Arabidopsis thaliana: one gene and its partners. The protein of the gene in region 3 interacts with the protein of the main gene of each other region in a pairwise test. Each region holds a gene or a part of one and is shown on either strand. Other genes may lie near its edges. The genes, in order: NF-YC10, NF-YC7 and NF-YB6.

The links.
Region 1: the proteins of NF-YB6 (region 3) and NF-YC10 interact in binary tests that used the Arabidopsis thaliana proteins (3 or more experiments, as listed by UniProt).
Region 2: the proteins of NF-YB6 (region 3) and NF-YC7 interact in binary tests that used the Arabidopsis thaliana proteins (3 or more experiments, as listed by UniProt).

The regions. Positions count from the first base shown.
Region 1 is NC_003070.9:2,469,044-2,480,995, forward strand, and holds NF-YC10 (nuclear factor Y, subunit C10), read right to left. Parts: upstream 6,086-11,952; 5' UTR 5,868-6,085; coding exon 5,448-5,867; intron 5,005-5,447; coding exon 4,920-5,004; coding exon of another isoform or gene 4,909-4,919; exon of another isoform or gene 4,683-4,908; coding exon 4,641-4,682; intron 4,554-4,640; coding exon 4,480-4,553; 3' UTR 4,122-4,479; downstream 1-4,121. Other genes in the region: AT1G07970 (cytochrome B561, amino-terminal protein), read right to left, coding at 485-625, 737-1,110, 1,189-1,392, 1,647-1,845, 2,003-2,904, 2,998-3,053, 3,270-3,475; AT1G07985 (uncharacterized protein), read left to right, coding at 6,465-6,899; AT1G07990 (SIT4 phosphatase-associated family protein), read left to right, coding at 8,370-8,408, 8,633-8,736, 8,923-9,009, 9,143-9,218, 9,345-9,419, 9,556-9,609, 9,936-9,995, 10,080-10,196 and 6 more.
Region 2 is NC_003076.8:20,552,972-20,557,729, forward strand, and holds NF-YC7 (nuclear factor Y, subunit C7), read right to left. Parts: upstream 2,788-4,758; coding exon 2,149-2,787; downstream 1-2,148. UniProt on the Arabidopsis thaliana protein: Stimulates the transcription of various genes by recognizing and binding to a CCAAT motif in promoters.
Region 3 is NC_003076.8:19,308,787-19,320,579, forward strand, and holds NF-YB6 (nuclear factor Y, subunit B6), read left to right. Parts: upstream 1-5,991; 5' UTR 5,992-6,274; coding exon 6,275-6,341; exon of another isoform or gene 6,342-6,551; coding exon 6,552-7,189; 3' UTR 7,190-7,383; downstream 7,384-11,793. Other genes in the region: NF-YB2 (nuclear factor Y, subunit B2), read left to right, coding at 628-1,200; NUDT2 (nudix hydrolase homolog 2), read right to left, coding at 1,605-1,793, 1,891-1,999, 2,072-2,106, 2,202-2,252, 2,331-2,408, 2,506-2,643, 2,747-2,812, 3,128-3,439; AT5G47660 (Homeodomain-like superfamily protein), read left to right, coding at 4,222-4,664, 5,097-5,850; TRM10 (tRNA (guanine(9)-N1)-methyltransferase-like protein), read right to left, coding at 7,543-7,794, 7,899-8,681; AT5G47690 (binding protein), read left to right, coding at 9,113-9,205, 9,868-10,071, 10,154-10,335, 10,540-10,666, 10,773-10,991, 11,202-11,418, 11,490-11,635, 11,726-11,793. UniProt on the Arabidopsis thaliana protein: Component of the NF-Y/HAP transcription factor complex. The NF-Y complex stimulates the transcription of various genes by recognizing and binding to a CCAAT motif in promoters. Plays a role in the regulation of the embryogenesis.

The DNA of each region.
Region 1 (11,952 bases), on a different chromosome or scaffold from region 3:
TGTAGTTAGTCGAGATTTCTTACAAGTTTGTGTTGTATGTTCGTTTTAAGAGCAGCTGCAGACCAAAGTTCTTGCTTTAAAATTTCATATTCAGTGAATTGTCAGAACTAATACGCATGAGTAACCTTGAGAAAGAGACAGAGTAATGCGAACTTTAGCAGTCTTTTGAGAAGTGAAAAAAAAAACATGATTCTACTGTTGCTTCTGTTCCCATTATTAATGTAGATAGAGACTCATTAAACTTCATGATCGGCAAACAAAAATATCAATTTCGAATGTTTTCTGATGAATCCATCTTCAGTGTTGTACTGTCCATCAACTGATTCTTAAGTGGTTACAAAAAAGCATCCTTAATATGTACTTATCACAAGAATAAGTTGCTATCCAAAGAGAACTAATTTCACTACTTCCTTCTAACAATGGCAAAATGAAGATGGCATTTCCTAACAATGCACCTCCACTATCTCAAGCAAATCCAGCTTTCTTAATCGTCAGTGTCGGAATCAACAACTTGGAGGATGTTAAGGGCTGAAGAACCCAGATTCATCCCACGAACAACACCTCCGTATCCCACCTTGATTCTGTGGCATATCAACAACATAGAGTCCCATAGCGCTGTTCTTCCCTGTTCCATTTCCAGTACACAAGTTCATCACTAACCACAATCCCTTTTCACATCCTCTGTATATGTAAGCTGTTCCATGCATATTAAAAATGAACTTAAATTTGTCATTACCTGAAGAGTAAACTGCACTTTCTTATCCCAGTACAAGGCAAATGTGGGTGGGCTTTGCTTGTCTACTGCAAGCACACATGCACCAGGATGAAGTGTCGAAGGTACACCCGATACCACAGCAATGTACTTCTCTGGGAATCTCTCTTTTGGAGGCAGAACCCCTAAGAATAAAGGGTTCTTGCTCGCCTGAGTCCCTGTATAAGAGCTAGGGTCCAAATGTAACATCCACTTTGGGTGTTCCAAGAAGGCACAAAACAAGTACAGAAGCAGATGAGAATCGGTTGGAGGCTCCAGGCTCCATTTCTTGTTTTTCTCACGAGTATCTGCCCCTCCATTGTACTCATAGTTCTTCACACAAGTTCCTTCCGCGAGTGCTGCCAAAAGCCAAGAGTTATAAGAGTCATGACTAATCGACTAAAATTGGAATTGGAATTTTTTAAAATGTTTGATACCTCGGATTCTTTGCACTGTGTAATCTGCTGGAATACTGCTGCGCGGAAGTAGGCCCTTAACCCACTCTCCTTTCATTAAGCCCTGAAGCCTCCGATGTTCACTTATAGCATCAACACATTCCTGCATGACAGGGATTAGTGCCGCTTGCTGTTGCTGTTGTTGTTGCTGTTGCTGAAACTGCTGGTTCTCTGTACGCAGCTTTTCTGCAGATGCCAGAAGAAAGAATTAGCAACTATATGAAGACCCAAACATTTAGCAACAACACATAAATGACATGATATCATTATTTCTCTCAGATATCCAATCAATTACAACATTCTTAAATTCAGTAATTTATTGAGAAACATGAAGTCTTAAGTTGATAACAATATTTTCAAAACAACAGAACAGCACTTCAACTTAACAATGACAACCATTCGGACCACATCACAGTAGAAGCTGTAGGAATGTTACTTACGCATGGAAGCATCAATAGCCTGTACAAGATTAGCGCGTAATTGGTGAAGAAGAGCATCTTCATCGAGAGAGTAAGATGGCTGCCACCCCTTCGTTCGATCAACCGGTAAGGCAGTTGTAGCGGTTCCATTTGTTGGCAAATCACTTCCAACTTGACTAACTGTGACATTAACACCAAGCTTTGATGCTGTTTGCATTACCTACACAAATGACAAAGTTTAAAATCTCTTTCACAGCAACATAGGGAAACAAGAAATTCTTCTTGTGCCTCTGATTCGGATGTGGTTATCAACTCATTCATCAGCAGACAAGTATAGGAAGGCCAGTGTTTATTTTAAAAGGACTCCAGAAACAAACCTGAATATGACTGGTTTCAACCTTGTTAAGCAGAGGTTTGAGCAACACTGAGGAACACCATTGCCTTAGTCGGTCACGCCAGTCTTCTATCTGAGGATAGACACCTAGATGAATAAAACCTTCGATAGCCCTTTCTAAGGACATTGGGTTGGGGAAATCACCCTCTCCTTTCTTTGGGGGAGTCGTAAATTTCTGAGCGCCAGGAGACATCCTGACAGGTCTTAGTGGTGTACTCCTAGTAGCCCCAGATGCACCAGTTGAACCACCAACTGTACTCGGGCTAGCCATGGCAAAACTCCCAACTGTTGGTGGAGGCGTACGCATCTTCCCAGCCGACTCAGTGATTTTCTCATCTATTTCTGCCAAAAGCTGCTCAAGCTGCTCCTCGGTAGTTATGTCTTTTGCAGAACTTCGTCTACCAGACCAAGGACTAGAGACAGCCTTATCCTGACCCGACGAAAGACGGTTAGAAGAAACTGGTGAGCTAGAAGGGACAAGATACATAGACGGTGAACCCATTTGTTTTGAGGGAGTGCTAAATGAACTAATCTGGCTTCCATTACGGGAATTCAGCTTATCACCACCACCAGAAGACTTATGAGCTGAACCAGTAAGAGTTTGATGGTGTATTGGGACAAGCGGCTCCAATGACTGTGCAGGTTTCAATGCAGGACGACTCTTTGGAAATTCTGATACACTCTGGTCAGCTTTTTTCTTTATCCCAAGAAGTTCAAGCTGACGATTTGATAAAGAAAACTGATCTTTGGTTTCTTTAGAGAAAGATTTAGTTTCTCCTCGAGCAGCAAACTTTGCTCTGTGCAAAGATATGCCTTTGGACAAAGCCATCATTGCTCCAATACAAAACAAAGTCACCAGCCCCTGCCACGCTTTTACAGTGACATCTGAACCACAAGGTAAGATTTTAGATATATTACGAAACTAATAAAACACAAAAGGTTAAAAAGGAAATCTCTCAAGAAAAAAATGCAACTCACAAGCTGCCTCTTGGGATATTTTCCCGAATGTTAAAGCATTGGTCAACCATTTCTCCCTGTAACATAAGATAAACAAGCAAATGATTATCATGGTAGATCTTTCCCAGATTGAGCAATCCTAACTCACAGAGAAAGCAAATGATAAAGAATAAGAACTAAGGACTCAAGTCGAGATTTTCTAGCTAACCAGAAATATTCCAAAACCTAGACAAATACTCCAACAATGCAACTAAGAGGGAATGTACGAAGCTCAAGCTAATGCTGGCAAGTACCCGGCCATGAAGGAGATGAGAGAGAAAGCGGAAGCGATAGAGAGCAAGAATATGAATAGAAGAACGGATTTCGAAGGACGGATGCTGTTGGCGGTGGAAGCGGCGGCGAGAGCAGGGTTCCGGTACACAGAGAACTTGGAGGGCTTCGGAGAAGGGGACGAACCCTGAGTAGTGTTGTTAATCTTCCTCCTCACATCAGAATCCATGGCAGGAAACGATTTCTCGAGCAAACCAAAGAGAAGGAAAAGGGTTTTAGGGATCGTCGGATTTTCCCGGCTGAGAGCTGCTCTCAGTCGCTGCTTCTGGTGGACCCACCCTAATTTTTATTCATACCCATCATATTATTTGAATTTTTAGTTTTACCCCCAAACTCTTATTTTGGATTATTTATTTTATAACAGAATTATAAAATGTGTAAAAAGAAAAGAAAATGTGGAAAGTTTTTTCAAATTGGTCTAGAAGAATGATTTTAAAAACCTTTTTTTGATAATTGGCTTGTTTTACTAATATTATAATTTGATTAGTAAGAATAATTATGGTAAAAATATTTTCTAAATATTTTCTGACCAATTGTCCTATAATTATAACTAGATTTTAACTCAGCGGTACACCGCGGAAACAATTTATTTTTTAATGTTAGTATATATAAAAGTTTACAAATTGTATCTAACTATAAAATATTTTTATTTTATAGTTTACAATTATTATTAAGTAACGTCCTGTCAAACCCGTCCAGTAAAAAAAACCATTTATTTTATTAATGTTGATCTTATTTATGATATGTTTATGAATCATTGTCTAAATATTTTGTAATTTTGTCTCTGTTTAGTTAATGTGGAGAGATTTTGGAAAGATTGTTAAATGTCAAATATTTAATTCGAAGATTTTCTTTCTAATTATCAAATACAAACATCAAAATCCAGTGGCAGCCATTGTAAATAAGTCCAACTACAAAATTTATTTCACAAAATGGCTGCAAAAATGTATATATAGATACTAAAGAAAGATATTAGAATTCCGACAACTCTTACAAATTTTAACTTGAAACAAGAAAAAAAATGTATACATTCTAGAAATCAAATATGTGCAATCTCAGTAGTGGTTAATAAGAAAGGTGAAGATCGGGCGGATGGAACCTATGAAGTATAAACCAGGACAGGGACACAAATTTGAATCCAAATGGTTCAGTTCGATTCCAACCGGATTTATTTCAGCCTGCATCTGTCATGCCTCTTTCCCATTCCTCCAACGCGGCCTCTGCTTTAAGTTTCTCGGGAACACTATCTGCATTCAAGATATTACAGGTATTAAAATGCTGTTCGTAAACCACATGGAACTCATAAAACGAATACTTCAGAGGTTATTAAGTACCTGCAAGGAACTCGTATCTCTGGTCGTTACTCACTACGGATGCTGCCAACGAGTAGAAATGACAGTGTCATCAATTATGTTAGGAGTGCAACAAATCTTGCAAGTGATACGAACGGATTAACTCATTATCTAAACTCTTCCTAAGACTAACTACTGGCCCTTGTGCAGAAGCCAGAAATCCTAAGTTCAGCAATTGGTGCAGCAGCATGAGATTTTCGACATGGGATTCAGTATTGAGGTAACCAGATATTGGCAAATAGGGACGAGATTAGAGCTTACAGAGGTGTTTGTAGTGGATGAATTTCTTTTTGTCCTTGACGGAACTATCATAAGCTTCTTCAGAAAACCGCTCAATGAACATCTCCTTCAATCACAAAAACCAGTTAATGTACTGTAAACGCAATGAACATCAATTTCGATGAACACAAGATGAAATCAAAAGAAAGAAAAAACAATGCCAAGTTCCAATACAGGAAAATTAAACACTCATCACTTAAGCTTTGAAAATATGAACCTAAATCATATATAAGGACTTTCTCATGTGTTAGGTGTCTACAAGTTCTGGATGTAAAAGCTAAACCTATGACAATCAAGCACAGTAACTACGGTTTCATCAAACACACATGGAGATGAAGCAATAACGTTAATTCCCGGCTTAATTAACAGAAACAATCTCATTACTGTAGCAATTTGCGAGATTATAACGCCCAATTAACACTGACTAGCAATTGATACTCCCAAATTCATCAAAAACCATGTGAAATTAAGTTCCTCAAGCTAAATTTATATGTCTAATTAGTACTATACCGTGGCTTTGTTGACAAGAAATACAGCATCCTGCATAATCTGAGGAGCAGAATTATCGCTTCTCATGATCCGCCGAATCCGATTCATCGGAAACTTGATCTTAGCATCTTCCGCGCCTCCATCGTCCTCTTCTCGATTTTTACTCGTCTTCGTCGGAATTCCTACACTCTTTCCGTTACCCCTCTTGCTCACGACGCCGTTACTTTTCTTCGCCTCATCGCCTCTTATTGCTTCTTCCACAGAGTCACTGCTCGATGATTCTGAGATCTCGTAAATCTCCGGCTTCTTCTTCACAATGTTAACCTTGTTCGACGTCTTCTTCGTTCTGGAACCGGAGCTGCGTTTACTCCGACCACTCGCTTTATTGACGACGACATCGCTCCTCGCCTTCTTCTCCTTGGGTTTCTTTGACGACACCATTAATTTTTTAGAACTACAGTATGTTTCACCCTTTCGCCTGAATAAATCGATGGATATTTACATGGGCTTATTTGTTTGAGCCTTTTAGGCCCATTTATCATATGATCAATTTAAGGAATGGACATGGTGATGTTGAGGAATGAAGATGCATGACGACTACTTCAAAATAAATTATTGGACATGCTTTCACTGTTTCGCATACACCTCGTAAAACATTGTATAGTTTATGGAGAAATAAATAAATTAGGGTAAATGTACTTGGGATAAGATAATGTTTTTATACAAGCATCCAAAATACATTATCTTGTTCCCGACATAATGTAAAGAAATTTTAGGGATTAGATAAGGAAGAATGGGTAATGTTGGAGTATGAGACAGAAGAGGTGTCCGCAAGCTGGAACCACCACGTGTTATCAACAACACGTGTGAGTCTCCATGAACTCTCTCTGCAATATTTAAACGTGGCCTAGCTCGTGTTCTTTCAATCTCCAATTATTACTCTATTAATAAGAGAAGACGAGTTTTGCTTTCGATACTGTCTTTCAACTATTCCGACACAACCAAAGCTTCTGGAAACGTTGTCGTTTGTTATCAATAATGGCTGTTGTAGAAGAACCGATACTTTCAAGATTGGATCGTATTGATTTCATGGTGAGGAAGTTAGAGGAGATGAAAGGAAGCTCGCCTAGAAGCTCGAGCCCATCGACTCCATCTAGTGGGACTCAGCCATCGTCAATGGATCTGTCGTCACCGAGGAGCATAGGGAAGGTACACTGCCGTTCGATGGAACAAGTCAGGGAGGAGACTGAGCGGAAAGGAACTTTGCTAGAGAGACTTAATAATGTAGAGGAGCAAGTGCTTAAGCTGTGTTCACAGTTTGAGGAAGAAGTTGAAGAAGAGAGGAAGAGAGAAGATAAGACGGATAAGGAAAAGAAGACCCCGAAGAAGAAGAAGGGATTGAGGAAGCTGGTTGATAAAGTTGTTGGATCTTCTTCTCCCACTAATATCCATTCCAAGAGCTGGCGTTGTTGAGTCATTGTAGTACTTTATTACATCATCATGTATACTTCAACGTACCACGTTTAAATGAAAGCTTCTCTTCTTTTTTCTTTGTTGAAGCGCTAGTGGAAAAAAATATCTTTAGGTCTCTCACTCTCTTGTTTGATCGTTTGTTTGTTGAGGTTTTTTGTTGTCCAGTATGCACTTTTTAAGTGAAAACAACAATGAATTTTCAGTGTACTTTCTATTTTTCAGAGTGCACTTTTCAAGTGAAACAATGAAAATTTGAAGGAAAAACAAGTACACACCTATAAATGATTAGAAAAACGAAGATGTGTGTAGTCATTTCCATAAACGTAACGATAAATTCTCAGTGGAGATGGTTAAAATAAACCGTAAATAGTTAAAATTTAACAAATGCCCAAGGTTTTGTGTAGAATAGAACAATTTAATTTTATATCTGTTCTCCGGGTTTTCTTGCTTCCCGATCAAATTGGGGTGTCAACATTTTGATCTAAAAATCAGTGACATCATATATGAGACTTTTCAACGTGTTTTTTTTTGTCTAAAAAAATTTCATCATTCTCTTGTCAAGTATTATGTAAGGTTAACAAATCTCCTCATAAATTTTTTAAAGATCGAAAATTTTCTAAAAATATGTAAACTTTTTTTCGTCTATGGTTTCTTAAGGTGTGAAGAAAAAGAGGCTGTTTACGGAGTTCACTCTGTTTGACACTTCAACCAACTTTTGTCTTTATATGTTTTTATTCTACACCATTAAATCAAACTTAAGACAATCATATGCATTTCTTTATCCACAAAATTGATTTGCTTATTGTACTTCATCATCCCGTTGTAAAATTTATAAGCACAATTTTCGCCAACTATTTATTCCGCAAATTGAACAGCTGATTTTATTTAAATTAATGTGATCTTTATCACAACAAATTCACAAGTCACCTGCTGCTGGTGACGCAAGTATCCCCCTCTCTGTTACAATATCTCACGATCATTCAATTGTATCCATAAAGATGATGTATGTTACTATCACCACCACCACCACCATCGTCATGAATCATGATCATCAGACAACGACTACGAAAAAATCATAAGTCTACTTTTATTAGACACACAAATCTGTGAAAATGGCGATTTAGTTAATAATAATTCGCTCAACTTTTTCTTAATCAATCAAAGGAATAAAATAACAAATAATAATAAGACCATTTTTTACTTTTCCCCTTCTTTATGCAAAATTCGGCCTCTTAATTTTCAAAATTTTCGACCTCCGATCTCCCATCTCCGCTTCCATCATCTTTAGGATCTCTCAATCTCTTTCTTCACTGATCGATTAGGGTTTTCGAGCTGAAATCGATACTCCTCCACCGCGAAGAAGCGATTACCTAGATTTTTCTTCTAGGTTTCTGGCGGATCTCGCCAAGTTCTCCTTATTCTCTTCAGCTACGGCGAAACTTTCTCTAGCTCCACTCCTCCCTCGCCACCATGTTTTGGAAGCTCACATCTCTCTCTGCATCATCTCCTGTGAGTTGAATTTTTAGATGTCGTGTTGTATGTTAGCGTTCATCTTGTCTACAGATACTGATATGCTTTAGAATTAGATTATTGGAGTTTCTATCCGTTGCTTTGCTTTTTCATATAATTTATGTCGAATTTTTGGATTTGCTAGATTTCAATTTTTTGAATTATTGTCTCTGAGTCGTGAATTGTTCATGTATTGATGTTCTTTCCTTTTGTTATGAGCGCAGGTGGAGATAATATTAGACAAAGAAAATTTCACGTTGGAAGAGCTTCTTGATGAGGAAGAGATTATTCAAGAATGCAAGGCTTTGAATAGCAGGCTCATTAACTTGTAAGCTTTTTTTAATCATTTATAATTGGCTTATATTCCTCATTATCTGTTTCATAGAACCAGATAAACCCTATGGTGTATGTTGAATCCTATGTCTCCTCTATCTGCGGAGTTTTAGTTAAGGAGTCCCATATTTCCTTCGTATTTTCTTGGATGACTTTATTGATTGGGTATTAATGTCTGCAGTCTAAGGGATAAAGCTCAAGTGGAGCAATTATTGCGGTACATTGTTGAAGAACCTCCACAGGATGCTGATAGTAAACGTGCTTTCAAGTAATATGCTTCCTTGATTCTAACTGGAATTACCTTGTCTTACCATCCTCTCCTTTTGCCTTTTATCCACTTTTCTTTTGAATGGTTCTGGATTTCTTTTCTCTCTAACTAATAATAGTTTCTTCTCTTTTAGGTTTCCATTCATCTCTTGTGAAATATTTACATGTGAAATTGATGTTATTCTAAAAACTTTGGTCGAGGATGAAGAGGTATTTTTCATTCATCCTACTACCTTTTCCTCAAATAGCAGTTCATACTTTTCACTTTTCTGTGCATCTGGATTATGTTTATTGTTATCCTAGATTCTCATTTGTTCGAATAATTTTATCTTGCAGCTGATGAACTTGCTTTTTTCCTTTCTGGAACCAAATCGTCCTCATAGTGCATTGCTGGCAGGCTATTTCAGCAAGGTATTCTCTCTTACGATACATAAGTTTACGTATTAGCCAAGTTCCTGTAATTTTCTTTTGTTTTGTTTGTACCGATACATATGACTTCATTTCAAGGCTCCGAGAAGTGATTCTTACTTCTCTCTGTTTGGTGTAGGTTGTCATTTGCCTTATGATCAGAAAAACTGCAGCGCTTATGAATTATGTAAAAGTAAGTAATAACACATAGTTAAACGGATGGTAAACTATATGAGAAATATATTATGGAAACTATTTGAACTGATTTCTAGGATTATCCAGGAGTACTGTAGAATACGTCTTATTTTCTGTTAACTCTTCTATTCAGAATTGATATTACCTTCCATTGTAATCTCGCAAGCCAGATGTCCGTCTATTTAGTAAATTGTTAGTAGATGAGATTGACATGACTCTATTCTTCAATTGCTGGCAATTATATTGATGTGACAGACAATTTAGTTGAATTTTTTTGTTATTTGTTTTGTATTCAGTTCTCAAAGTAACTTTTGATGATCACAGGGGCATCAAAATGTTTTCTGCCAGTTAGTTGATTTGATTGGGATAACATCCATCATGGAGGTAATTGGTTTGACTTAGACTCAGTGCAACTTGGTGTGGTTTCAGAGGTCTTTTTTGCTATGATATTTACGCGACTTTTTCTAGGTTTTGGTTCGCTTGGTTGGGGCTGATGACCAAGTCTATCCCAACTTTCTGGATGTGATGCAATGGTTGGCTGATAGCAATTTACTTGAAATGATCGTGGACAAACTTAAACCATCTGTAAGTGGTTAAGCTTTTCTATAATCATCCCAGAGACAAGAGGCTCTTGGTTTTCTCTTTGATACTTGTAGGTGGTGTAAATCTAGGATATCTGATGATATTACTAATTTCTTCTATCATCTTCATTCTGATATGTTTCTTGCATTACAACTTGAATCAGAGTCCTCCGGAGGTTCAGGCAAATGCAGCAGAAACATTATGTGCAATTTCTCGGAATGCACCGTCAGCTTTAGCTACGCAGCTCTCTAGCCCTGGGTTTGTAATCTTTCTTCCATGATGATTCCTAATGCTTTGATAGATGATACAAAAGTGTTTCACATGGCAGCACAACTTTTTCCCTGTTTTTGCAGCTACGTTGCAAAGATATTTGGTCATGCTCTTGAAGACTCGCATTCAAAATCCGGTCTAGTTCATTCACTTTCAGTATGCACCTCTCTTCTGGATCCGAGGAGATCTGCTGTTTCATCTTCTATGTTCAATTCTTACAGAGGTCAACATATGTTCGAGTCTCCTGTCCCAGTTTCCCCAGAAACTATTGGTGCCATGCTGCCCAAACTCAGTAAGTTGGATCCTATGATGCACCATCGTCACATGACCATCAAGATTATTAATTTTCTGGCTTTTTTATTTGTTGCATGCACATAATCTTATTGTGCACTTGGACAATAGTCAATCCTTTTCTTATGTGATATTACTTTCCATTTGCGAGGATACCTAGAGTATTTAGCATCTATCTGGACGTTCTGTTTGATCTTCCCTGCTCTCTATTTGGTCTCTTCTATTTTGGTTTATATTGATAAATGGAAACTGGTTTTACATAATTCTGGAATGCTTACGTAGCACATCTTGGATATGTATGATACTGTCTCATACAAGTTTTTCAAATCAGGTTTTATGCATTCAATGACCTTAAGTAATATTTTTTTTTTTTTCTGCAGATGACTTGCTTATGCTTCTCACTGTAGCATCTGATAGCACAGTATTGCCTACAACATATGGTGAACTGAGGCCTCCTCTCGGAAAGCATCGTCTAAAGGTCAGGTCCAAACATGGAGCATTTTATGGAAGACATTGTCGTTTTTAGGACACCAACAGTGCTCTTAATATATTGTATGTAAAGTCTCTATACTTAATTAGACTCACTTATCTTATTTTCTTTGTTTCAGATTGTGGAGTTCATTGCAGTTTTGTTGAAAACTAGAAGTGAAGCTGCACAAAAGGAATTAGTCAGTTCAGGAACAATCAAAAGGACCCTTGATCTGTTTTTCGAGTAGGTTTTGCTAAACTTAAAATTTTGTGATTACCGTGTGCTATTTCTACGAGATCTTAAAAAATCAAATACTCTCGACATATGAAGGTACCCGTACAATAATGCTCTGCATCATCAAGTGGAGAGTATAATACTTTCTTGTTTGGAAAACAAGAGCGATTTGATGGTTAACCATATTCTTCGAGACTGCGATCTGATTGGCAAATTCCTCTTGTCGGACAGGGACTCAAACCTCTTAGGTGATAGCCAGGTATTACCATTTGCTATGTTCACAAAGGTTTAACTGATCATCAGCATATGAAAGAGTCATCTTAATACAGCTCCAAGTTAGCTCCATTGACTCATTGCTCCAGCGTTCATTAGCTAAACAAATATTCTCTGGCATTTTCTTTTTCTTTTGTGCGAGGTAGCCCACTGTAGCTGCCTCCGGGAAAAAAAAACCTCGTGTCGGGTATGTCGGGCATATCACAAGAATATCAAATAAAA
Region 2 (4,758 bases), 1.2 Mb from region 3:
GTTACAACTTCCTCAACTAAATGTTTTGGTTACTCCTCAACTTCTATTCAACGATGTAGTAGATAATTTATCTATTTGTAAAGAAACTTAAGTCTCCAGCATTTGAAACTAACAGAAAGAGTGTGATTTTATTCAGATCATCAAAGCAATGATCGCCATATGCATATTCATCTACTAATACTACTAGATGGTCATGTTTCTGACAATAGAATAAATTTATACTGTATCTGTAGGTCTTGAATGATTGTTTGAAAAAATTTCAATTGTTGAACAATATTGTTTTTCTAGGATTTTATGTCTCTTCCTCCTTTATTGCCTCCTTATCTTAACATAGAGAATACCTCAGTTTTTCCTCATTCTCTTTGAGATATGAATTGAGTGTTGCATATTCTTTTGAATTTTATCCATTCTGAAAATCTAGAAGCATCCAAAATTCGTTTCTTCAAATCTTCAAAGTGTTTATCCTTTTTTAAGGAATACATATTGTTTGTTCTACATATTTTATGCCTAACAACTTGCCTTCACTCTCCATTTTCACAATAAAAATCATAACATTTTTTTTTTTGAATATATTTGGAAATTCAAGTCTTTAGGTCCTAACATTACACACTTTAAATTCAAAAACATAACTTGAAAAGTAATTCAAATTCTCACGAAAGCGGTTAGAAATCTTAAATTACAAACCACACTTCAGTTTTTGCCGTTGTTTCCTCCATACTCAAAATCTTTAGTTGGTTTTTTTAGAAACTCATAAAACGAATACATTTGAAGTTTTAAATAAGAACTTTTTCTCTCTAAATTAACGGTAACTATGGTACTCCCATTGTTTAAAAAAATATGATGTTTAAACACAAAGTTTAAATAATTAATTTATCTTTTTATATATTTTTTCTAAATTAAAAACATAATTTAATATTTAGTTAATTAAAGTGAGTTTGGCCAATGAAATTCGTTACTGCATAATATATATATAGTCATAAAAGTATATAAATTCTACGCTTGCATAGAAATTTGAATTATTTGTCTAAAACATCTTATGTTAAGAATCAAAATAATTTGGCTAAAACAACTTATAATATAAAACCGAGAAAGTAGTGTTTTGGAGTTTTTATTTATGTTTTCTGGCTACTCTTTAATGTAGCCATTTAAAGTAAAAAGAAAATGAAACCAAGTATATATATAAGAGTGAGGACCCTTTTCATAAACAGAAGGATTTATTGCTTCTAAAAATTAAATTGTCTAGATTGTTTTCTATCTTTTCATAAGAAGAAAGATTTATTGCTTAAAAAAAAAGTAAATATTCAAAGATTTTTTTTTATCTAATGATTACGAAGTGAAAATATTTGGTTTTATTATGTGGCTCCTAATTGGTCGTTACGAACAATGTTTGTTTTACGAACACTTGTTATCCACAACAATTTTCAAGGTGTTCCACAACTATATTTTCAATAGATCTTTTACACATTAGATGTTCATATCTTGAAAACGAAATATACTATGTGAGAAACAACTCATGCCAAATTGAGAAAACTGGAATAATATATCAGCGGTTTGCAAGTAAAATTTCGTTGCATAATAAAACCGGAGTATAACTTTCACGCGAAAATCCATTTTAAAATCAAAATGCTGGAAAATTTACGAACATAGATTCGGGATTCAAAAAGATCTCTTACTAGATCCTAAGATCATGATGCCTACATATTCACAACGTATACAAAATTAATACCATGAGCCATGGGGATTTTCTACTTTCATAAAGGATAACTAGAAGATGGAGCTAGTAGTATATGTTTTTTATGGTAATTGACATTTATGCCTAGTTCATTGTGTTTTTTCGTAATGAACTGCGAATATTTTGGTGATTCTTTGGCATAAACTAATCTAAAGCAAAGAAGAAAATAAGAGTTAACTAAAATTCCATTGTCTTCCATTTGCTTTCGTTAATGCCATGTGTTTTGGTGTTGTTGATGTTATGTTTAGTCTTCTATGTGATATTTCACATGGAAGACTACACATAACACCAACAACAACAGAACACATGACATTAACGAAAGCAAAACATAATAACAACAACAACAACAAACATGACTCGATAGAGATACAAATTCTCACAAAAGCATTACAACCCTAAAACCCAATCAACACTTTTCAATTACCGCCGCTGCTTCCTCCAATTTCCCCAGCTGCCTCCTCTCCGTCACCAGGCACCGCCGGCCACTCCTGCATCTGTGGCGGTGACGCGTACACACCATTACAATCAAACACCGGATATCCTATCACCGTTCCCGGAGGAAGTACTTCACCGTCCGGATGTAGCACGGGATCATCGGTAACGACGGAAGGGTCTCTTGGGACAACGTCGCCAAGGAAGGTAAATTTGAAACTACGAGTCGTTGCGGCGGAGATATCGGATCTCGTGAGCGTATCGGATCTCTTGAGAGTTTGGCGACCGCCCTCCACGGTATGAAGCCACGATCGCATTGTGAGATCAAGAATGAGCATCTCACAGGCCTTCGATATAAGGACCGGAGCCTCTGCAGTGACCATGTTCACTTCCGGGTTGGACTTCATGATTTTCTTTATCCTGGTTAGTGGAAACGCATGATGCTTAACATCAGTTGCGTTTCCCATCTGCGCAATCCAATAATTCCGCATCTGCGGTGAGTACGGCAGCGGCAGTGAATATGACGGCAACGGCATTGATTGATAATACAATGGTGGCGGCGGCAGTTGGGAAGACGATGGTTGCGGCAGGTAGTGGTTGTTGTTGCCGTTGTTCTCTTCCATTTTGATCTTTACGTTTTTCTTGTTCACTTTCTAGGCTAGGGTTTCCATATTTAAAGGCTGATTAAGTGGGCTACGAAATCAGCCCAACTATTTTCTCAAAAATAAAATTTATTTTTTATTAATATTTTGTTTTGTGTTATACAATATTTACTAATATATGTGAAATCCCAAAATACAAAACCTCACTTTCTATTCATTATAAATTTTTGTTAACCAATACTTTTTGGATTTTATAAATTTTAAAACTTATAAAATTTAGATAAGGTGAAAGCTATTAGTCAACTATAGCTTTAGATAAGGTGGATTTTATACTAACCAATTTAGGGAAGTATGTGAAAGCTAGCATATGAGGAATGTCGTCAATGGTTTTGTGCCCAAGATCTGATTAGTCAAAGAAGAAAACTATAAGTGGTGCCTTGGAGTGGTAATTAGTGGGAAGATACCAAACTGAGAATTTTCTAATGCGCAATGGAAAGTATGTGGAGTTTCCGCATAGATAAGGTGACTTTGGCTTCGAGTGAAAAAGCTATAGTTGTGTACTTAAAATCCAATGCTTGGCCTGCTTCTTTGTGTTATCATTCTTAGGAGATTGCAAATATTGTCAGCATTTCAAAGATGCAAATATGTATGTCAATTTGTCTTGTGCATGAGACCGATCTAATCTGAAGCATTAATTTAAAGGTAGCAAAGGAACATGTTTCATCATTCAAAGATATCTCAATGCAGATAACAATTCCAAATCAATGAAAACACAAGTGGTGGAAAGAGATATTTGAATAGATGGTTTTCGCGCCAAAGTTCGTTAAAATATCAAGCTTAAAATTTAAACATCCAAAGATATTGTTTATGTAAAGAATATGTTTCTCTTAACCTTAGATATTATTTTTAAAGGAAATAATTACTACTTTTAGGGCCGGTCCAAACATAATTTGCCGTCACCTGTTAAAAAGAAATTACAAAAGTTAGGAAATTAGGATCGAACTGGTCACCTAAAGCGGATATCCATCAACTTTTCGGAAATAAACTTTTTATGAAATGATGCGCCTATATATTTATATAGAGAGTTCTTTGCCTAAAACCTTTGTTTCATGAGATTTTTAGGCTTTAATCGAAAGTCGAACCTGATTACTTGAACAAACGAATCATGCAAAATCTAGAAAAAACAATGATGAGTTCAACATTTGGTGTGAAATTTAGTTAGCTGGATAAAAGCAATCAAACCAGATTATTTTTTATTGATATGGAGTTATTGAAAACATTTATGCATAGTCCTTGTGATGATAATCAGCCCCATCCCAAATAAAATTAGAGATGTAAGGTTACCCAATTTGTTTTTGCTATAAAAAGCTTTATTTAAAAAACAAAATCAGGCTTATTATTTTTAAAACAAAAAATGGGGTTTTGAACTATAATTTTGGGCTAATTATAAGTTGTTTTATAAAATATGGGTTTTTTATATATCAATTTTACTTCAAAAATAAAAAAAGTCTTGACCCTCACACCTTACGACTCACCCATTGGGTCGAGGTTGATGATAACAAGCTCGGCCCAAATAGGATGGGCAAAAGGGCAGTAGCCCATGATTCCATGATTTTTTCTGAATTATTTTTTAAAAAGGCCATATTTTATAAAAAAATTAATTTGACTGAAAATATCTAATAAATGGCCCAATATATTTGGAGAAAAAAACTTTTACATGAAATGGGGCCCTTAATATTACTTTAAAAAAATAATTAATTTGTAATCGGATTAGAAGGAGAGTAATCGAATGAGTGATTTTTTAAGGGATTAGTCATTAATCATGGATAGAATGGACTTAACGATTAAGCGGAGAGTAACCGGATATGATGGACTTAGCGATTAAACGGAGAGTAACCGGTGTTAGGCGGAGGATTTTAGAACAAGATATTATGTAAGAGACTAACTCCAAAAGACAATCAAATTCTCAGAAAAGCGCTTACAAGTCTACTA
Region 3 (11,793 bases):
TTTTGATGGCAATGAACCCCACCACAGACCACACCCTCATGATCCAACCCAATTCGCTCGTAACACAAAAAAAAAAAGAAGTGAAAAATTGACCGAAGGGTCGTTGAGTGGCAGTTACCCTCTGTCTCCCTAACGCCCACCTATCTTCTCCGTGTTTTCCACGCGCTATCTTTCTCTCTTCTGTGTGTTTACCACGCTCCTCTTATGCGCGTCGGCTCGTGACAAAAGTGTGCCGGGTCCACTAACTGTCCACAACACGTGGCAAAGCCTTAAAGGGCTGTCTATCTCTCAAACAAGATCAATTCCAATCCGACGGTCGAGCACGTATCCAGTTGTCAGAATCTTATCAGTAAACGGACGGTTCATATAAGATCACGTGTCAAGTGAGCAGAAGTCGTGCGTCCTCTCTTTATATAAGCTCCGGCGACTCCTTCACCACTGTGTACAATACCAGCCGACACTTAACAATTCACACCTGCTCTTTTTACTCTTTCTAAAACCCTAAATTTTCTCGCTTCAGTCTTCCCACTCAAGTCAACCACCAATTGAATTCGATTTCGAATCATTGATGGAAATGATTTGAAAAAAGAGTAAAGTTTATTTTTTTATTCCTTGTAATTTTCAGAAATGGGGGATTCCGACAGGGATTCCGGTGGAGGGCAAAACGGGAACAACCAGAACGGACAGTCCTCCTTGTCTCCAAGAGAGCAAGACAGGTTCTTGCCGATCGCTAACGTCAGCCGGATCATGAAGAAGGCCTTGCCCGCCAACGCCAAGATCTCTAAAGATGCCAAAGAGACGATGCAGGAGTGTGTCTCCGAGTTCATCAGCTTCGTCACCGGAGAAGCATCTGATAAGTGTCAGAAGGAGAAGAGGAAGACGATCAACGGAGACGATTTGCTCTGGGCTATGACTACTCTAGGTTTTGAGGATTATGTTGAGCCATTGAAAGTTTACTTGCAGAGGTTTAGGGAGATCGAAGGGGAGAGGACTGGACTAGGGAGGCCACAGACTGGTGGTGAGGTCGGAGAGCATCAGAGAGATGCTGTCGGAGATGGCGGTGGGTTCTACGGTGGTGGTGGTGGGATGCAGTATCACCAACATCATCAGTTTCTTCACCAGCAGAACCATATGTATGGAGCCACAGGTGGCGGTAGCGACAGTGGAGGTGGAGCTGCCTCCGGTAGGACAAGGACTTAACAAAGATTGGTGAAGTGGATCTCTCTCTGTATATAGATACATAAATACATGTATACACATGCCTATTTTTACGACCCATATAAGGTATCTATCATGTGATAGAACGAACATTGGTGTTGGTGATGTAAAATCAGATGTGCATTAAGGGTTTAGATTTTGAGGCTGTGTAAAGAAGATCAAGTGTGCTTGTTGAACAATAGGATTCACTAACGAATCTGCTTCATTGAATCTTGTATGTAACTAAAGCCATTGTATTGAATGCAAATGTTTTCATTTGGGATGCTTTTATGTTTTGGTGAGAGTTATGTAGTGATTCAAGTGTCAAAATGCTTACATAGAGAGGCAGCAAAGAAACCAGCTTCGTTAGAATCTGTGAGGAAAGCTCTGTTTGTTGAGAAAGAAGGTCAATTGCGCGAATGTAAGTCGCGGGTGTTGTAGTACAAGTTGCCTTGTTGATCAGGTGCAGAGACGCGGAGAGGAGTGAAGCCTTCGTAGTCTCCGTTGGTTTTAGCAGAGCAAATGTCTGTCATATACCTCAATAGCTCATAATTTTGTACAAATGGTTGATTTATGTATTCCTCCCAAGGCATCCACTGCACCAAATTCCCATTTTCAGAAAGAGAAGAGGTTTATGAGTGTTTTAGTGGATGAGACTGGAGAGTCGTTGAAGTGAGGAGCAAAAACTGTTACCTGAGCTGCCTCAATCTCTGACTCCTGTGCGTTGATCTCCAAAGAAAGGGGCTTTAACATGCACACGAAGAACAAATCTGACTTTCCAAAGAACGCTTTGTGTGTTTGTCTGCCAGAATTTTAAAACAGACGAGAATCAGTTATGTTGCAATATAGAAGATTATGCAGTTGGAGTTGCTACCTGAAGGCCAATATTTGGTCGAATTCTGTATCCACCTGAAAACATACGATGCAGAAGAGTGGGATTAGCTCTTGGTCTCATGTAAACTGTAAAGAGGACAGTGAAAAGTTGAGGCATGAAGAAGCCTTACTCCGGTCTCTTCTTTCACCTCTCTGACTGAGCCATCATGAATGTCTTCACCCTGACTCAACACAAACACAAAAAGGCGAATCAGAGAGCTGAACCTAACCATGTAATGAGCTTTAATAAGAACCAGCACCTCATTCACAACTCCGGTGGGGAACTTCCAGATACCTTGACCTTGAAATCTCCCTGTCTTCTCTTGAACCACCAGCACCTTTGGATTCAAATACAGAAAAGAAAAGAGATGTGATCCATTCTTGGAGATGTTCCAAAAAGACACACTAAAAATCTCATCTCATCAGTAATCAAACCTCTTTGTTGTGGTTAATGACAAAGGCACCTATGCCAACACGGTGAGATGCATTGGCAGGAAGCGTATCGTCTTCTTTGGGAATCCAATAGACAAGCATCAAGTAGTCTTTCTCCGCGTGGTGAAACCAGAATCCCTCCTACACATAATACACAACCAGTAAGTGATATGAAGACTCTCCAAACAATAAGCAAAAGGGGGTTTAAAGATATCTGATTGCGCATTAGGTAACAAAACAAGACCTTAACAGCAGTTTCAGCAAGACCAATAAGCTGCTTTGGCAACTTGATCCACACTCCCTTTTTGCCCTGCGTACATAAAAACGTTTGTAAACATTTCACAGTAGATCGGTTCATAGTCCTATTCACCGTCTATTACTGTAGTGGAAAAGTTGAATTTAATTTTTTTTGCAGCAAAGTGAAAGAGAGTTTCTGGCCCGCATTAGAATACAACAATTTTCAAGCGGAATAGTGACACTAACACTTTTAACACCCAAACTTTTACAATGATTCTTCTATGTAACAACAAATCGGTACCAGTATCTTGATTCGGATAACAAAATTTGTCATTTTGATCGAATCCAATAAGATCAAATTTAACAAGAGGAAGAAGGAAGAGAGAACCTGAAGAGTCCAGGTAGATAGAGAGGATCGGAGAAGTGTGGAGAAGAGAGAAGGATCCATGGGATGAGTCATCTCGGTCATCACGCCACCGTACTTGTCTTGAACAGACGGAAGCAGTGTTGTTGCGTCCTCACGGGACATGGGATTTGTGGAGGAACTAGAAGCAGACATGGATCTGTTCCTCGTGGTGGAGCAACTGTGAAACGCAGAGAACCCATCAGCCGGAGGAAAACGAAGACGACGGCCATTATTCTTATTACACAACAACAATTTGATTAAACCATAACTTTTGGCCAAACGGCAAGTCATCATTACGAGAGAAGAAAAAACAAAACTCTCAACTCAATTTACACTAAAGATTTGTCCTAAATAAGTAACAGACAAAACAAATTCTATATAAATCTGAAAGTTTTTAAATTGCTAAATAGATTGATCACTCGTTTGAAGGATTTGAGCATACAAAACCTGTTTTTTCACTTTGCGGTTCCCTTTCTACAACGTATGATGAGTGAAATAATAATAAAACAAGGAAGTAATCTATTTTTCTTCTAAAATATGTCAATAAAGGCCAAAGAAAATATTCTGTTACTGTATATTTCTATCACAAGAACATAAAAACTTCAATATTTTCTGTTTAAGAAGGTTAAGGTCAAAGGTTAATACGTACGTGGAATAGTTTCTCTGGATTGTTTGTGTTGTGACACCTACGCTTGATAGAGAAATTACCAATGATTTTCTTCTAATTTTTCTCAGATTCCCAATCTTAATATGGATTATGGATTATGATATAAAATATGTCGGTATCTCCGCGGCTTTCGCTGAGCCACACGGGGCTAAAGTGTTTTTTGCCTTTACACAAAACTGGTGTAGATACAAATTACAGAACATATTCAGCTCAGGTGGGCTCGGGTCGGGTCATATAACGACGGGTAAGAAAACGACTGAAGTGAAGTGAGGATAAAATGGAGGTTATGTTACTCCTTTGAGGGTATAAAGGTAAATATAGAGTTTTTTACCCTTTGAATTGCTTTTACTTTGGGCAGTCTCTTCTGGATTTCACGCCGCCCATTTTATTTTTTTTACCTTTTCCCGAAATGGAACTTCTCGCCGGCGACTGTCGGAAACGAGTCGGCGACGACTTTGAGGAAGATATTAACCCATTCGATGGTTCGGACGGTGGTTGCGGGTGGATGTACGGTACCCGTCAAATGGGTTCTAACGGAAACGACGACGCTTTGGCTACGCTCGCAGACTTGGCTTCGCCTCCTCAGAAATTGAAACCTATAAGGTGTGGCGTTAAGCTTCCGTCGTCGTCGGAGGATCGACATCCTCTTGATATTCTCGCCGGAACCCTAGATAGGCTGCCGGAGATGGGTTTTGGCTGCTTCGAAGCTCCTTTGGGATCGAAGATTGCTGACGTGGAGGAAAGTGGTCAATTGACTCGTGGGTTTTCAAAGGAAGAGGATGATTCTCTTCCTCCTCTTCAAATGGAGTTTCAAGCTCGAAATCGCATCTCTTGGGATGGTCTCTCTCTCAGGTATAAATCTCACCATTAAAAATGTGAGCTTTTTGTTCAACTTTGGATCTGTTACTGTGAAAAGTTGTTACTTTTTTTCTGTATTATTAAGAGTCTAATTTTTTTTCACGTTTATTAGAAGCTTGTTTGGTAGAGACCTCCTAAACACATTCTCTTCCTCTTGATATATTTGAGCTTTGCGGTATCATTTGATTCTAGATTGGTTGACTGGTGCATCACTGAACACTCTCAGCTTAAAGCATTAAACTTTGCAGATATCAATCAGATTGGTGTGCCGTCATTACAAGCTTTTACAGTGTTGGTTTATACCACTTCTAAGCAGTGTTTGTCTATATATTCTGCGGAACTTTTGGATTATTAGTTCTTAGATAGTGTAACCATGTTGGAAGCTTTGAGTTTTTGATAAGTACTTTCCAATTTTTGATTTTGCAGCTCCTCTGTTGATAGCAGCGATAGTGACTCATCTCCAGACGTTCGCAAGACCGTCACGGGTAAAAGAAAGCGGGAAACAAGGGTAAAGCTGGAGCATTTCTTGGAGAAGCTTGTGGGGAGTATGATGAAGCGGCAGGAGAAGATGCATAATCAGTTGATTAATGTGATGGAGAAGATGGAAGTGGAGAGAATACGCCGTGAGGAAGCTTGGAGGCAACAGGAAACCGAGAGGATGACACAGAATGAAGAAGCACGGAAGCAAGAGATGGCACGCAACTTGTCTCTCATCTCTTTCATCAGAAGTGTTACTGGTGACGAGATCGAGATCCCTAAACAGTGTGAATTCCCGCAACCACTCCAGCAGATTCTTCCGGAACAATGTAAAGACGAGAAATGTGAATCCGCTCAGAGAGAAAGAGAGATAAAGTTTAGGTACTCAAGCGGCAGTGGCAGCAGTGGTAGAAGGTGGCCGCAAGAGGAAGTGCAGGCATTGATAAGTTCGAGAAGCGATGTGGAAGAGAAGACGGGGATCAACAAGGGAGCGATTTGGGATGAGATATCAGCAAGAATGAAAGAAAGAGGGTACGAAAGATCTGCGAAAAAGTGTAAGGAGAAGTGGGAGAACATGAACAAGTACTATAGGAGAGTGACGGAAGGTGGGCAGAAACAGCCTGAGCACAGCAAGACTCGCTCATACTTTGAGAAACTTGGAAATTTTTACAAGACCATTTCCTCGGGAGAGAGGGAAAAATGAGTGAAAGATTTTAAATTTAGGTGTTTTTGGCACGCAAAACGGGAGAACTTGTAGATGATTACCTCGAGTTTAATTTTTATATCTTTGGTGTAGTTTATAATTTAAAACTCTACGGCTCTGTATTTGTAGAAGGTTCGAATAAAAAAGACAAATACGTTGGGGTGATTGGGATTTTGTAACGGCTAAGGGAGACGAGGAGAAGGATCCTCGGTCACATCGATTATGGCTGCCACGTTGTTGAACTTGTGAGGTCTGAAATTACAAATGCTGACACTTGCCAACACTATTAGCTTTATTCCAATTACTCTTTCTTCTCTCTCATTCCATTCTCTTCTTCAAATGCTTCTTAATTTCGGGCATTGGTTATTATTATTTATAGGGATATTCACAAACACAAAAGTCGTGTATTTAGAACAAGAAAGATATGGAACGTGGAGGCTTCCATGGCTACCGCAAGCTGTCCGTGAACAACACCACTCCTTCTCCACCAGGTAGTGCCATTCTCTATACCCCCTCTTTTCACAGGCTCTCTTCATTTCAGTTGCATGCGAAACCATTCTCTGCAATCCCTCCATTGTCATGTCTGTACTCTTTTCATGACGAACAGTTAATGAAATAGCTTTTCAATCTTATAAACCGCGCATGCAGACGTCATCGAAGCCATTATGCACTAAAACTTCCATTTTTCTTATTTTTGTTAGGATTAGCAGCGAATTTTCTGATGGCAGAGGGCAGTATGCGTCCTCCAGAATTCAACCAGCCTAACAAAACCAGTAATGGTGGTGAGGAGGAGTGCACGGTGAGGGAGCAAGACAGGTTCATGCCTATTGCCAACGTGATACGGATCATGCGGAGGATCTTACCTGCTCACGCCAAGATCTCAGATGACTCCAAGGAGACGATCCAAGAGTGTGTTTCGGAGTACATCAGCTTCATAACAGGGGAGGCTAATGAGCGGTGCCAGCGGGAACAGCGCAAGACCATCACTGCTGAGGACGTCTTGTGGGCAATGAGCAAGCTCGGTTTTGATGACTACATCGAACCCCTCACGTTGTACCTCCACCGCTACAGAGAGTTGGAAGGTGAAAGAGGGGTTAGCTGCAGTGCTGGGTCCGTTAGTATGACCAACGGCTTGGTGGTCAAGAGGCCTAATGGGACCATGACCGAGTATGGAGCCTACGGGCCTGTGCCAGGGATTCACATGGCGCAGTACCATTATCGTCATCAGAACGGGTTTGTTTTCAGTGGTAACGAACCTAATTCTAAGATGAGTGGTTCATCTTCAGGAGCAAGTGGCGCCAGAGTTGAAGTATTTCCGACTCAACAACATAAGTACTGAGAACAATGGCTAATAACATAGACAGCTGACAGAGTCATAACTGTTAGTAGGTGCAAGCTGTAGCTTATGAATTCAAGTTTAAGCGAAAACAATGCTGCTTTTTCTTTGTTTATTATCTATCTAGTTGAAAGAACATTGTGTTTTTCATCTGATCTGTCTTGTGGTAAAGTATGTCAATAAAGCATTAGTTTTGCAAACCGCATGCATGTGATATTACAAAATTCACGGTGAATTCGTAATGCGTCTTGGTTCAAAATAGAAAGAGACTAAACATTCCAGATTTCAATTCTCAGCTACAGAAATGAGTGTTTAACGGATACAGAAACAACTCTCACAATCTTCATTCATTTCATTTAGCTACTACTTTCCAAAGGAACTTCAACGCATACCTTTTTCCTCTCCAGAAGATCATGTTTGTCTGCACTCTCGTTTGCCTCAGTATCTTTCTCCTGATGCTCTTCAGATATATGTTCCAATTTCGAACAATCAACAGGATCAAGTCCGGTTCTTTTCCTCTGAGGAATCACAGTGAAGAAGGCTGTTTTCCAGTCCCTAGTCTCCAGAAACTTGACGAGTATCTCCAAAACTTGGTTCACAGTGAGAACCTAAATCAATAAAAACCACAAATCTTACATTAACAAAGTACATAAAGTAGAGGTTTTTTGTGTTGTGCCCAATGAGACAAGAATTGAAGTGGCCATTTAGTTACCTGAGAACTTGACATTTTCATATACTCTCCTATGGGAAGCTTAGCTGTTTTAATGCCTTGTTCTTGAGCCTTGGTCATGGTGATCCCTTTGAACCGGTTTCGATCCACTAAGCCACCGATAATGTAGATATGCTTAGGGTCAAGATCATCCAAAACAGTTTCAGAATCAGCCGTAAGATACACCAAATTATCTTTCTGATCAGCCATGGCTTCAATGTAACACCTACTTTCCTTTTCAATGAACCATTTCTCAAAACCAGGAAGCTTGTCAAGCTCAGTACTCATCTTCCCTTGGACTCCTGTAAGCCATAGATGACAAGGTGAAGTGCTTCTCCCATTCACCGCATAGCAATACATAATCTGCTGAACGAGGCTTGAGATCTCAGACTCAGACATGAGATGAGCAAAATCAACATCTACTACGATCTTTTGACCTATTTCTTTAGCTTGATTCAGCCTCTCTATCTTCTTCTCCTTCTCCTCCGATCTCTTCTCCATTCTCTCCTTCCGCAGACTCTTCCTCGACTCAATAAGCTTCAGCCTCTCTTCCTCCGTCGCGTTCGCTAGGGTTTCTTCCCATTCCTTAAGCTTTCTCTCTCCTTCTTTTCTCTTATGCTCCTTCTCCTGTGCCTTCTTCTCAGCTTTCTTCGCTTCGTATCTTTGCTGCTTCAGCTGCTTCTTCTGAGCATTCTTCGACAGGGGAGGCGAAACGTTAACCGGTGCCGGTTCAGATTCTGGTTTATCGAAGCAGCCGTTGTCGTCATTTCCCGTCGCCGCCGCCATTGCCGCGAGAAAGCAAAGCGAGAGAGCAAAGAAGAAGGGTCAAAAAACTAAAATTGAAACTCCACTCAAAACGACGTCGGTATTCTTACACTAATGGGCCTGGATGTTTAAAAAGGGGCCTGTTAAACGATGGGCTTTAAGAATGGGGAAAAAGGGTAAAGAGAAGAGAAAGTGAGGGACCATCAATATAAAATAAGAGAAAATGAGGAAGCGATGAGAGACACAAAGCCGTCGTAAGTCAGCTAATCGGGGCTCTTGTTGTGTTAGAGAGAGCTCAGATCAGATGTGGCTTTCTTCTTCTTCTCCTTCTTCTTCCGCATAGTGACTCTGAGAACCAGATTATTCAAGAAAATACCCTTTTTGTTTCCTTGTTCGTTTATTGTGGCTCGTCTCTAACAGCTTCGGTTTAAGAGTTCTCTGTTTCACTCCCCATGGCTCAGAAGCCGGAGGAACAGTTGAAAGAGCTGGGATCGAAGCTTGACCTAGCTCCTGTTTCTAAAGATTCATTGCTCAAACTCTTAAAGGTGTGATTCCCCATCTCTACTTCTCATTGTCTCTTCTACAATTTCTCCAAGTTTCGATTTTTCGTTTGGAGGGAACTTTTTTCCATCTTTGTCCCCTGTTTAAATTCTGCCAAATTGGAACCGAATAAAGTTTTCAGCTTTGTAGATCCTCTTCCGTTCTGGGTAATGCTCATTAATTGAGCCAGTGTTTTCTTCTTTCGAGCTGCGTTAGGGTTAGTTTGTACCATCTTTTTCGTCTACGCTAGATTGTTCTTGCGAAATTAGGTCATGCATAAAACTCGGGACTGTTCCTAGGAGAACCAATTCAGTGTCTATAATTGCTTAGATTTGCGACTTTTATGATGTCTGCTGTTAGAATGTCGAGTTTTTAGGGTTGGCCCTAGTATTTTTCTGTCCCTGGTCATGATGGAATTGAACTGCGCTATCTTCACCAGCAATTTGACTGATGCAGTAGTTACCCCAATGTTCAGTTTCTACATTGACTAAGATGTTTCTTTATCAACCACCTTTGTGGAAATGTGATTTGCTTTTGATTGGTTTCATTGGGGTGAATTGGTCGGGTTAGTTTACTAAGATATCTCTCTCCTTAAACACTTTTCCGTGCAATACTGTGACTGATTTATCAAAAAGACTTTCCTTAACTTGTGTGTTGCTACATGCAGGAAGCTGCTGTTTGTCTTTCTGAGTTGGAGCAGTCTCCACCACCTGCAGTGCTCAAGTCCATTCAGCCTTTTCTTGATGCAGTTATTAAACCTGAAATTCTCAACCATCAAGACAAGGATGTCAAGCTTCTTGTTGCAAGCTGCGTTTCTGAGATAACTCGTATTACAGCACCTGAAGCGCCTTACAGTGATAATATTATGAAGGTTGTTTGTCCTGACTTTCCTCTGGCACCGTGATCACAGACATGTCCATTACTGATTTCTTCTGTTTCCTATCTTGTTTCAGGATATTTTTCAACTAATTGTGAGCGCTTTTGCTGGGTTGAATGATGTCAGTGGTCCATCATTTGGAAGGAGGGTTCTCATTTTAGAAACGGTTGCAAAGTACAGGTCATGTGTAGTGATGTTGGATCTTGAATGTGATGATCTGGTGAAAGAAGTGTTTACTACATTTCTTGATGTTGCTAGGTGTGTTTCACTTTCAACCTAGATTTCTTTTCTGAGTGATTATAAGTTCCGCTGATTTACAAAACATCTTCAAATTTTCTGATTTTCAGTTGTGCTTTTCGTTGGTGTTCTTGGCTAGTAATACAAAATATGAATGGTTTCTGTGATTTTTTTCTTTTCTTTTGGGCTTCATACTGAAAGATTGTTTTATTTCTGTATGTGCAGAGATGACCATCCGGAGATTGTTTTCTCATCAATGCAAAATATAATGATTGTTCTTTTAGAAGAAAGCGAAGATGTGCAAGAGCACCTTTTACTAATTTTACTCTCTAAATTGGGCCGCAATAGAAGTGTGAGCATACTCACGTTGCTGGCTCTGGCCACTGATTATAATCCAATTTAGGATTCGTTGTTTTATGGAATATCAGACAGCTCATATTCTGCATTTATGATGGCAGGACGTTAGAGATGCTGCAAGAAGACTTGCTATGAAAGTCATAGAGCATTGTGCGCCCAAAGTTGAATCTGACATAAAGCAGTTCCTTATCTCTTCAATGTCTGGAGATAGCCGATTTTCCAGCAGTCAAATTGACTACCATGAGGTTATCTATGATTTGTACCGCTGTGCTCCTCAGGCCCTATCTGGAGTTGCACCATATCTCACTGGAGAGCTTTTGGTATAATTTTATTTTTGGTCTTCTGCCACTATCTTGCACGTCAAATGTCATCATGACTCTGCCATGCACAATACTTTTATTATTATGTATTTTGTTTGAATAATCACTCTTATCCATTTGTTGTTTCAATACTTTTCATGTGGTATGAGCCCATCTTTTCAAGTAGATTGGTATTGAATAATACATAATGCATACTATTAACATATACAGGCGGATAAACTGGAAACTCGTTTGAAAGTGGTTGGATTGGTTGGAGAGTTGTTTTCCTTGCCTGGACGTGTCATCTCTGAAGAGTTCGATTCAATTTTTTTGGAGTTTCTGAAAAGGCTGACCGATAGGGTAGTTGAAGTTAGGATGGCCATCCTTGACCATATTAAGGACTGTTTGCTCTCAGATCCTTTGAGAGCTGAGGCTTCTCAAATTATATGTAAGCTTTCTTTATCATGCCATTAATATGCATTAGAATTGACTAATCTTATAGTGTTAATACTTATGTAGCTGCTCTCTGTGACCGGCTCTTGGATTATGATGAGAATATCCGCAAACAAGTTGTTGCTGTTATTTGTGATGTGTCTGTGAGTGCATTGACGTCGATTCCAGTTGACACTATGAAGTTAGTTGCTGAACGGCTTCGTGACAAAGCTGTACGTTTTATGTATTCAGTCTGGTTGTCTCTGATAGTTGCATACTAAAATTTGAAGACATTTGAACTCATAGTTCTTTTTCTAATTCAGATACTCGTAAAAACATACACAATGGAAAGGTTGACTGAGTTGTTCCGGGTATATTGCTTACGGTGTGC